Oryctolagus cuniculus: one gene and its partner. The protein of the gene in region 2 interacts with the protein of the main gene of each other region in a pairwise test. Links are inferred from orthologs where the notes say so. Each region holds a gene or a part of one and is shown on either strand. Other genes may lie near its edges.

What was found.
Region 1: the proteins of GRAMD1C (region 2) and CD151 interact in binary tests that used the Homo sapiens proteins (3 or more experiments, as listed by UniProt). The link is inferred for Oryctolagus cuniculus from reciprocal best matches to the Homo sapiens genes GRAMD1C and CD151.

What each region holds. Positions count from the first base shown.
Region 1 is NC_091432.1:348,214-352,751, reverse strand, and holds the start of CD151 (CD151 antigen), read right to left. Parts: upstream 3,039-4,538; 5' UTR 2,885-3,038; intron 1,984-2,884; 5' UTR 1,928-1,983; intron 1,175-1,927; exon of another isoform or gene 1,142-1,174; 5' UTR 1,135-1,141; coding exon 1,051-1,134; intron 972-1,050; coding exon 780-971; intron 700-779; coding exon 625-699; intron 506-624; coding exon 401-505; intron 325-400; coding exon 166-324; intron 61-165; coding exon 1-60. Other genes in the region: CRACR2B (EF-hand calcium-binding domain-containing protein 4A), read right to left, coding at 3,662-3,827, 3,906-3,977, 4,100-4,266, 4,398-4,490. UniProt on the Homo sapiens protein: Structural component of specialized membrane microdomains known as tetraspanin-enriched microdomains (TERMs), which act as platforms for receptor clustering and signaling.
Region 2 is NC_091435.1:69,831,027-69,835,420, reverse strand, and holds the start of GRAMD1C (protein Aster-C), read right to left. Parts: upstream 2,808-4,394; 5' UTR 2,736-2,807; coding exon 2,673-2,735; intron 1-2,672. UniProt on the Homo sapiens protein: Cholesterol transporter that mediates non-vesicular transport of cholesterol from the plasma membrane (PM) to the endoplasmic reticulum (ER).

The DNA of each region.
Region 1 (4,538 bases), on a different chromosome or scaffold from region 2:
CGCGCCGATGACCCGCAGGTGCTCCTGGATGAAGGTCTCCAGCTTGGTGATGCAGCCGCCCTGGGGGTGGGGACAGGTGCTAGGGGCGGGGCCGGGGCCGGAGCCCCGCCCACCTCCACCTGGCAGACGGGGCGTGGTCCCGCTCGGCAATCCGGGCCCGCCTACCTCCACCTTGTAGATGTTGGAGGCGTGGTCCCGCTGCCCGCAGTTGGGCACCACGGTCTTGCAGCAGCTGTCAGGGACCACGCGGTCCCCGGCCTCGCTCGAGCGGATCCACTCGCTCTCCCGCCAGTCCCGCGAGCTGTTGCTGCCGCAGCAGTGGAACTGCAGGGCCGAGAGCAGGGTCGGCTGAGCCGCCACGCCCGCCCCGGCCACCAGGCCCCCCCTGGGCCCCACCCACCTCCTGCTGCAGCTTGTCCACCGCGCTGGTCACTCCCTCGTGGCCTGGCTGCCGGTACTGCCTGGTCATGGTGCCCTTGAGGTTCTCCTTCAGCTCTGCGTTCAGCTGGGGGGGGCAGCTCTTCCAGGTCAGGCGGGGGGGCGGGGGCGGGGCCGGACGCCTGCCCCCCGCCCCCCCAGGCCCGCTGTGAGCCGCGGCGCTGCCTTGCCCCCCCCAGCCCTCACCTGCTGGTAGTAGACGTAGGCCAGGATGCCCGCGATGATCTCCAGCAGGAAGATGAGCAGCAGCAAGAGGAAGTACTAGGGGACAGACACCCCCGTTCTGGGCGGACCCCACGGGCGCAGCCCCCCACCCCACCCCCAGGGGCCCCACCGCTGACCAGGCGCAGCAGGTTCCTCCGCTCCTTGAAGGTGGCGCAGCAGCCAAGCACGCCAGTAACCATGACCACGACGCCGGCCACCACCAGGATGTAGGCTGTGGCCAGGTACGTGCTGGAGGCCAGCAGGCTGATGTAGTCACTCTTGAGGGCCAGCGTCCAGACCCCCACGGCCATGACGGCCAGGCCGGCCAGCTGCGGACAGCGTGCCGGGTCAGGCCGGGCCGGGGCCGGGCGCGGGGGGCGGGTGGCGCGGGCAGCCCCCCCTGCTCACCCAGAAGCAGCAGTTGTAGGTGAAGAGCAGGTACTTGAGGCAGACGGTGCCACACGTGGCCTTCTTCTCGCTGAACTCGCCCATCCTGGGGCTGGCGGGGGAGGTCGGAGGCCCGGGCACACGCCTGGCCGGGGGACCCGGAGATGCCCGGGCGCAGGGGGCAGACAGGACATGAGTCACTTCCCAGGGAGAAGGGCTCAGGAGCCCAGGACCCGGCAAGGGCTCCTGCTGACTCACTCCTGCCCGCGGCCCCACCGCGGGCTGCAGGCCCAGGACAGGGGCCCGCAGAGGCACCCCAGGGGCGGGGGACAGGGCTCTGCCCACCCTCACCGAGGCGCAGGAGCTGGAGGGTCAGCAGAAGGGCAGGTGTTCCCCCCCCGTGGGGGGGCACTGGGAGAGGCCTGCGGGCGCAGACTGGGGCTGGGGGGCACTGGGAGAGGCCTGCGGGTGCAGACTGGGGCTGGGGGGCACTGGGAGAGGCCTGCGGGCGCAGACTGGGGCTGGGGGGCACTGGGAGAGGCCTGCGGGTGCAGACTGGGGCTGGGGGGCACTGGGAGAGGCCTGCGGGCGCAGACTGGGGCTGGGGGGGCACTGGGAGAGGCCTGCGGGCGCAGACTGGGGCTGGGGGGGCACCGGGAGAGGCCTGCGGGCGCAGACTGGGGCTTGGGGGGCGCAGACTGGGGCTGGGGGGCACTGGGAGAGGCCTGCGGGCGCAGACTGGGGCTGGGGGGCACTGGGAGAGGCCTGCGGGCGCAGACTGGGGCTGGGGGGGCACCGGGAGAGGCCTGCGGGCGCAGACTGGGGCTGGCGCCCGGGGCCAGGTTTGCAGACGGGCAGCCCAGCTGCACTTTCACCTCCTGCCCCGCCCAGCACTCACCTGCGGCGGGAACAACGTCTCTGGGACAGGTGGGCGGAAGTTCCCAAGAAGCTGGGCTGCAGGGCAGGTAACAGGTTACTGGCCTGGCTCCTGCGGACAGGCAGAACCCTGCCCCAGCCTCCTAGCCACCAAGGCCGTGGCCAGGGCCCCCGGGAAAACTGGCCAGCAGTGGCCAGGCCCGGTATTTTTGTCTGGACAAGGGTGGGGCAGAAAAGGCATTCGGACAGTCCGATCCTGGGAGGGGCTTCGCCCCACCCATGCCCTCCGCCCACGAAAGAGCAGCTAGCGGGGCACAACCCCCCAAGTTCCACCCACGCCGCTGGGGAACTCAGACTCCCCGCATCAACTCCCGGGGCCACGCACAGCTGTGCCCCTGGGGCTGACTCAGAGGCCCCAGGCTTTGTGAGGCTACTGGGGTTGGACCGGATCCCCGCCACCCGGCCAGGCAGGGCGGCCCCTCCAGGGACGGCTGGTGGCCGTGAGCCCCCGGGGACAGGAGCGTGGGAGCCTGGGTGGCCAGAAATAGATACAGCGGCCGCGCGCAGAGCCGTCCCGGGCCTCTCCCGCGCCCCAGTGCGGGGGCTCCGGGGCTCCGCAGCTGGCGGGTTCGGGCGCAGTCTGCGGTGAGGTCACCGCTGGGGCCGGGGCCCGCCCATATGCACAGGGCAGGGGTGGGCCTGCGGGCGGAGGGAAGGGGCCGGGGTCGGAGACACTGCGTGGGGCGCTCGGGCTGGGAGTTTCAGGGCTCCGCGCACGGCGGGGACGCCCGCCAGTCCCAGGGTTCGGGAGGCGCCTCCCCCACCCCGACCGCCTGGCGCCGGGCTCCCCCGGAAGGGCCTGCGGCCGCGTCCGGCGGGCGTAGCCTCCCGCGCGCAAACGCCGGGCCCCGCGACCAGGCGCGCAGGGGCTGCGGGCCATCGGCTTCGCTCGTTCGGCCCGGCTCGGCCGCGCACTCACCGGCCACGCGTCGGAGTCGGCCCGGGCTGCGGCGCTGCGGGGGCGGCGGTTCCAGCGGAGAATGCGCGGCAGGGGCCGCTGGCGAGACGCCCCGCCCCCGACACGAGCTGCGGCCACGCCCGCGGCGCCGGGCCCCGCCCCCTGGACGGGGCCACGCCCGCGGCCCGCAGACAGCGCCAGGCAGGTCTGAGCCGGCTTCGCGAAGTGCGGGCCTCGGCGGAGGGAAGCGGGGCTGCGGAGGGGCTGGAAAGGAGGCAGAGACCACCGCGCGGAGGTCCCCGACAGCGGCGAGATCCGGCGGCCTCCCCGCGTCGGCAGAACCGAGGCCGGCCCGGGGCGGGGGAGGGTGAGGGGGCTTCGCGCCGGTGCGTCTGGGCCCCCACCCCCGGGGGTCTGTCAGTCTGTCAGTTCGGTTGGCAGGGCTGCGTGCCGGGAAACGCACTCGGGGTTGGCTGGTGAGCGTGGGAACCTCCACTGGCCGCCAGGTCCCACGGAAGGGACGGTGAGGGCTCGGGTGACGACCCACGGCCGGAAGCCCCCCGCCCCGCACCAGGGCCACGTGCCCCGCACAGGTACCGCGCACTTGCACGACGCCGAGGACGAGGCAGTGCAGTCCCTGGACTTTATTTGGCAGTTTTTATGATTTTTCCCCGCTGGACACCGATGCGGACAGGAGGAAGACGCCCCACTGCCCCCCAACCCCTACTCGGCCCCTGCGCCCGCAGGGCTTCAAGGCGCGCCCTGTCCCGCTAACGCCCTGTGCGTGGCTCGGGCCGGTCAGCGTGCACTGGGAAGGTGGCCGGAGCCACGTCTGGGGGGACGAGTCCAGCCGCCCAGCGTGGGCCCGGGCGGGCAGGCGGTGGCCGGGGCCTTCCTGCGGCCGGGGCCCAGCAGCCGGGCCTCACAGGCGTCCCTCGCGTCGCGGAGCCGCGTGTTCAGCTCCCTGGGGAAGGCAGAAGGCGAGGTCGGAGGGGTCCCTGCCCTCCCGGAGGGGCCGGGGCTGCGTGGCGCCCGCCCGCACCTGAGCAGCTCCAGCTGCCGCAGCAGGCTGCGTTTCTCCTTCTGCATGTTCCTGGACACCGCGACCACGTCTCTGCGGGCGGGGAGGGGCGGCCTGGATGCGGCGGACCGCTGGGGAGACCCCTCCCCTGCCCCGCAGGCCCTGGGGGGTGGAAGTGGCCCGGGCCGGGGCCGCGCCTGCCCCGCCCGCCGCACCTCTGCGTTTGCTCCTGGCGACCCCGCGCGTCGCCCTCCAGCCTGCGAAGCTGCTCCTGCGCCCCCTCGAGCTGCGCCCGCAGCGCCTCGTGGGCGCGCCACAGCTGGGCGTTCTGGGCCTGCGCCTCCAGCTGCTCCGCGACGCGGGCCTGCAACTGCTGCTCCAGCTGCGGGTGTCGGGGGCGGAGGCTGGCGAGGAAGGCCCGCCGCTTCCCGGGGAGCCGCGCCCGCCCGTTCCGGGGCCCGGGACCTCGGCAGGGCCAGGAGCGCTGGGGAGGGGCGAGGGCTGCGCGCTCACCTCCCGCTGCCGCAGCCCCGCGCGCTCCAGCTCCTGCTCGCAGCTCTGCAGCTCCACCTCCAGGCGGCCCCTCCACTCCTCCCGCGGCGGGTTCTGGAACGCGCGGGCACCTGAGCCTCCGCTGGCCACGTGGTGCGCGGT
Region 2 (4,394 bases):
AGATTGAATTTAATCTCGCAACCTCAAACTTCTGAGCTGCTATGAAATGTGTTTTGCTTCAATGTGCGAAAAAGTGACTTGCGAGGGAAGTCATGTCCTTTTGTATAAAGGATTGAAATTAATGATAAAAGGTTATTCCCTTCACTCCCCGCCCGCCAAATAAACGGCTATGAAAGATATTGTGGATGAATCTTGATGTGAATGGAAGGGGAGAGGGAGTGGGAAAGGGGAGGGTTGTGGGTGGGAGGGACGGTATGGGGGGGAAGCCATAGTAATCCACTATTCGTACTTTGGAAACGTATATTCATTAAATAAAAGTTAAAAAAAAAAAAAGAAAGATATTGTGGAACAATTGAGAAACATTGAACTGTATATTAAAGCGGATGCTGTGGAATAACTAATGAACCGTCGATAAGTTTGTTGATATTCACTTATGTATAATTAATAATTTGTAGTTATGTTGGAGAGTGGCTATTAGAAAATTGTTGTTGAAGTGTTGTAGAAGTGTCATAATATCTGCAGCTTCCTTTCAGATGCTTTAAGAAAGACAAATACTGGGGCTGGCATTGTGGTGTATCTGTTAAAGCAGCCGGCGGCGGTGCCAGTATCCCATATAGGCGTTGGTTGGAGTCCTGGCTGCCCCACTTCCAACCCAGCTCTCTGCTATGACCTGGGAAAGCAGTAGAAGATGGCCCAAGTGCTTGGGCCCCTACAGGCAACAGAAAAGCAAAATATCAACAATTAATGTATTTAAAAGAGAGTATACTGCTATTTGGTAATTTTTTTTAAAGATGCATTTATTCAGGGTCGGTGCTGTGGCATAGTGGATAAGGCCGCCACCTGCAGTGCTGGCATCACATATGGGTGCCGGTTCAAGTCCTAGCTGCTCCACTTCCGATACAGCTCTCTGCCATGGCCTGGGAAAGCAGTGGAAGATGGCCTATGTCCTTGGGACTTTGCACCCACTTGGGAGACCTGGAAGAAACTCCTGGCTCCTGGCTTCAGATCAGCAGACCTCCAGCCATTGTGCCTGTTTAGGGAGTGAATCAGCAATGGAAAACTTCTCTCTCTGTAACTCTGCCTCTCAAGTAAATAAATGAATCTTTTAAAATTACTATAACTGGTCAAAAGAATAAAGTGAAACTGGCCTGCACAGCTGTGTGTGGTGTTTTTTGGTTTGTTGTCTTTTGCAGTTGCATAAGTGCAAATACAGAATCAACAAAGTTGGATTTAATTAGGATTGGTTTTTACCAGGTGAATATGGTAAATCACAGAAGGAGGAAGAGTGATGAGTATGCATGCAAGTGTGTGCAATAATGATTGTCCCTGTAATATAGGCAAAGTAAGGTTTTAAGAGTGTGAAGGGGGACCAGCACTGTGGCTTAGCGGGTAAAGCCACCGCCTGCAGTGCCAGCATCCCAAATGGGTGCCGGTTCGAGTCCCAGCTGCTCCACTTCTGATCCAGCTCTCTGTTATGGACTGGGAAAGCAGTGGAAGATGGCCCAAGTCCTTGGGCCCCTGCACCTGTGTGGGAGACCTGGAAGAAGTTCCTGGCTCCTGGCTTCGGATCTGCCCAGCTCTGGCAGTTGTGGCCATTTGGGGAGTGAACCATCGGATGCAAGTCCTCTCTCTCTCTCTCTCTCTCTCTCTCTCTATCTTCTGCCTCAGCCTCTCTGAAACTCTGCCTTTCAAATAAAACAAATCTTTAAAAAAAAAAAAAAAGAGTGTGAAGGACAATGAAAAGTATTAGGATTAAGGGTGTGTAAATCTAATCAGTTCTCTAGTTACTGGAGCTTCGTGCAAACCACCCAAAACCAGAGTAACTGGAAGGAAGAACCATCATGAGTTTTCTCTCATAGTTTCTGTGGTTGGAGCAGTTTGAGTCAGGAGTTCTGTCTCCCATGAAGTTGCCCTGAGTAGTAGTGTGCTGCTCCAGTCATCAGGCCTGACTGAGGCTGGAGGACCCTCTTCCAAAGTGTCTCATGGGGCTGGCTCTGTGGCGAAGTAGGTTAATGCTCCACTTACGATGCCGGCATTCCATATAGGCACCAGTTCAAGTCCTGGCTGCTCCTCTTTCGATCCAGCTCAAGATGGCCCAAGTCCTTGGGCCCCTGTTCCAATGCAAGAGACCCAGAAGAATCTCCTGGCTCCTGCCTTTGGATTAGCACAACTCCGGCCATTGCAGCCATCTGGGGAGTGAACCAGCGGATGGAAGACCTCTCTCTCTGTCTCTCCTTCTCAATGTCTGTAACTCTACCTCTCAAATAAATAAATGAAAATAAAAATCTTAAAAAAGAAAAAAGTGGGGCCGGCACCGTGGCGCACTGGGTTAGTCCTCTGCCTGTGGCGCTGGCATCCCATGTGTGCACCAGGTTCTAGTCCCAGTTGCTCCTCTTCCAGTCCAGCTGCTCTCTGCTGTGGCCTGGGAAGGCAGTGGAGGATGGCCCAAGTCCTTGGGCCCCTGCACCCGCATGGGGAGACCTGGAAGAAGCACCTGGCTCCTGGCTTCGGATCAGCGCAGCGCCAGCTGTTGCAGCCGTTTGGGGGGTGAACCAGCGGAAGGAAGACCTTTCCCTCTGTCTCTCTATGTCACTGTCTGTAACTCTACCTGTCAAATAAATTTTTAAAAAATCTTAAATAAAAAGGAAAAAAGAAAAAAGTGTCTCACTTACTTGGCCAGTAAGCTGGCACTGGCTGTTGGTTTGGGGGCTCAGCACACACATGGGTTTCTGCATGGGGCTGCTCAAGTCTTCATGGCCAAGCAGTGGCTTCCCTCAGAACGTGTGAGCCTGCCTTTTATGACCTAACCTCGGAAGTTCCACGCTGTCACTTACACCGCATTCTCTTGGAGTCCAGCGGTCGGCTCCGCTTCGCTGAGGGATTCAACTACTCAGGGTGTGGACACCAGTAGGTCAGGATCACTGAGAACCCTGGTGAGGACAGCTATCCTATGAGGAATGACAAGGTGGGAGAGAAAGTAGTCACCATTTTCATTGGGAAAGCAAGGTTTCAGTTAGATCTTGGTGAGGAGAGACCGTAGAGAAATTTCAGAGAACGTAGGAGACAGGAGCTATTGTTAGTGTCTGGTCTTGAATCCACAGCACATCAAGGAAGGAGGTTGGTGCTGGGAGACAGAGGCGGTGGTGAAGGAAACGTGTGTGTTACTGAGAGCGCATGCTGTCCTGGGGCCACCATTTAGTTCTGTCCCAAGATGCCCAGTGGTCAGGTTAGGGAGGGTGCGTACTTTTTGCATCTTCACTAAGTAGAATGTCCCCGAATATGGCTCTCTAATATATTTCATGATTGGAAAAAGTTTTAGAGGCTGGCTATGTGGCACAGTGGGTAAAGCTGCTGCCTGTGACGCCAGTATCCCATATGAGCACCAGTTTATGTTCCAGGTGTTCCACTTCTGACCCAGTTCCCTGCTAAAAGCAGTGGAAGATGGTTTAAGTTTGCATACACATGGGAGACTCAGATGGAGATCCTGATTCTGGTTTCTGCCTGGCCTAGTCCCAACCATTGCAGCCATTCGGGGAGTGAACCAATGGATGAGTTCTTTCACTCTCTCTCTCACTCGCTCTCGCTCTTTCTTTTTCTCTCTCTCTGTCTTCTCTCTCTCTCTCTCGTGCACTCTCTCTCTCTCTCTCCCTCCCTCTCTCCTTCTCTCTAACTCTGCCTTTCAAATAATAAATAAATCTTTTTTTAAAAAGTTTTAGGGAGTATACAAATATGACAGTTTCAAAATTGTTTTCTGCTCAGCATGATTAATTTTAATTCAGATCCTTAGAAAATGCCACTACTGGGGCCGGTGCTCTGGTGTAGTGGGTAAAGCCACCACTTGTAGTGCTTATGTCCCATATGGGCCCCAGTTCGAGTCCCGGCTGCTTCTCTTCCAATCCAGCTCTCTGCTATGGCCTGGGAAAGCAGTAGAAGATGGCCCAAGTCCTTGGGCCCCTGCACTCATGTGGAAGACCTGGAAGAAGCTTCCAGCTCCTGGCTTCAGATCAGCTCAGCTCTGGCCATTGCGGGCATTTGGGGAGTGAAACAGCAGATGGAGGACAGCTCTTGCTCTCTCTCTCTCTCTCTGGCTCTACTTCTCTCTGTAACTTTTTCAAATAAATAAAATATTTTTTAAAAAAAGAAAATGCCACTATTAGTTTTCATCACGTTTTTCTAGTCCTGCTAACCCATAAGTAGTGAGTTAATGTAACCTATCTGCATTTATGTATCACATTTTGCTCCTTCCTGAAATCTACCAAAACTTCAATAAGAGGAGTTTTAGGCAGACACGGAGAACAGGAGAGGGGGCAAGAGCAGAGAGATTGTATAAGCTGGAAAACTGTGGAAGAAGGGCAGGTGTTTAGCAAGGTAGTTAAGATGCCATTAGTACACCT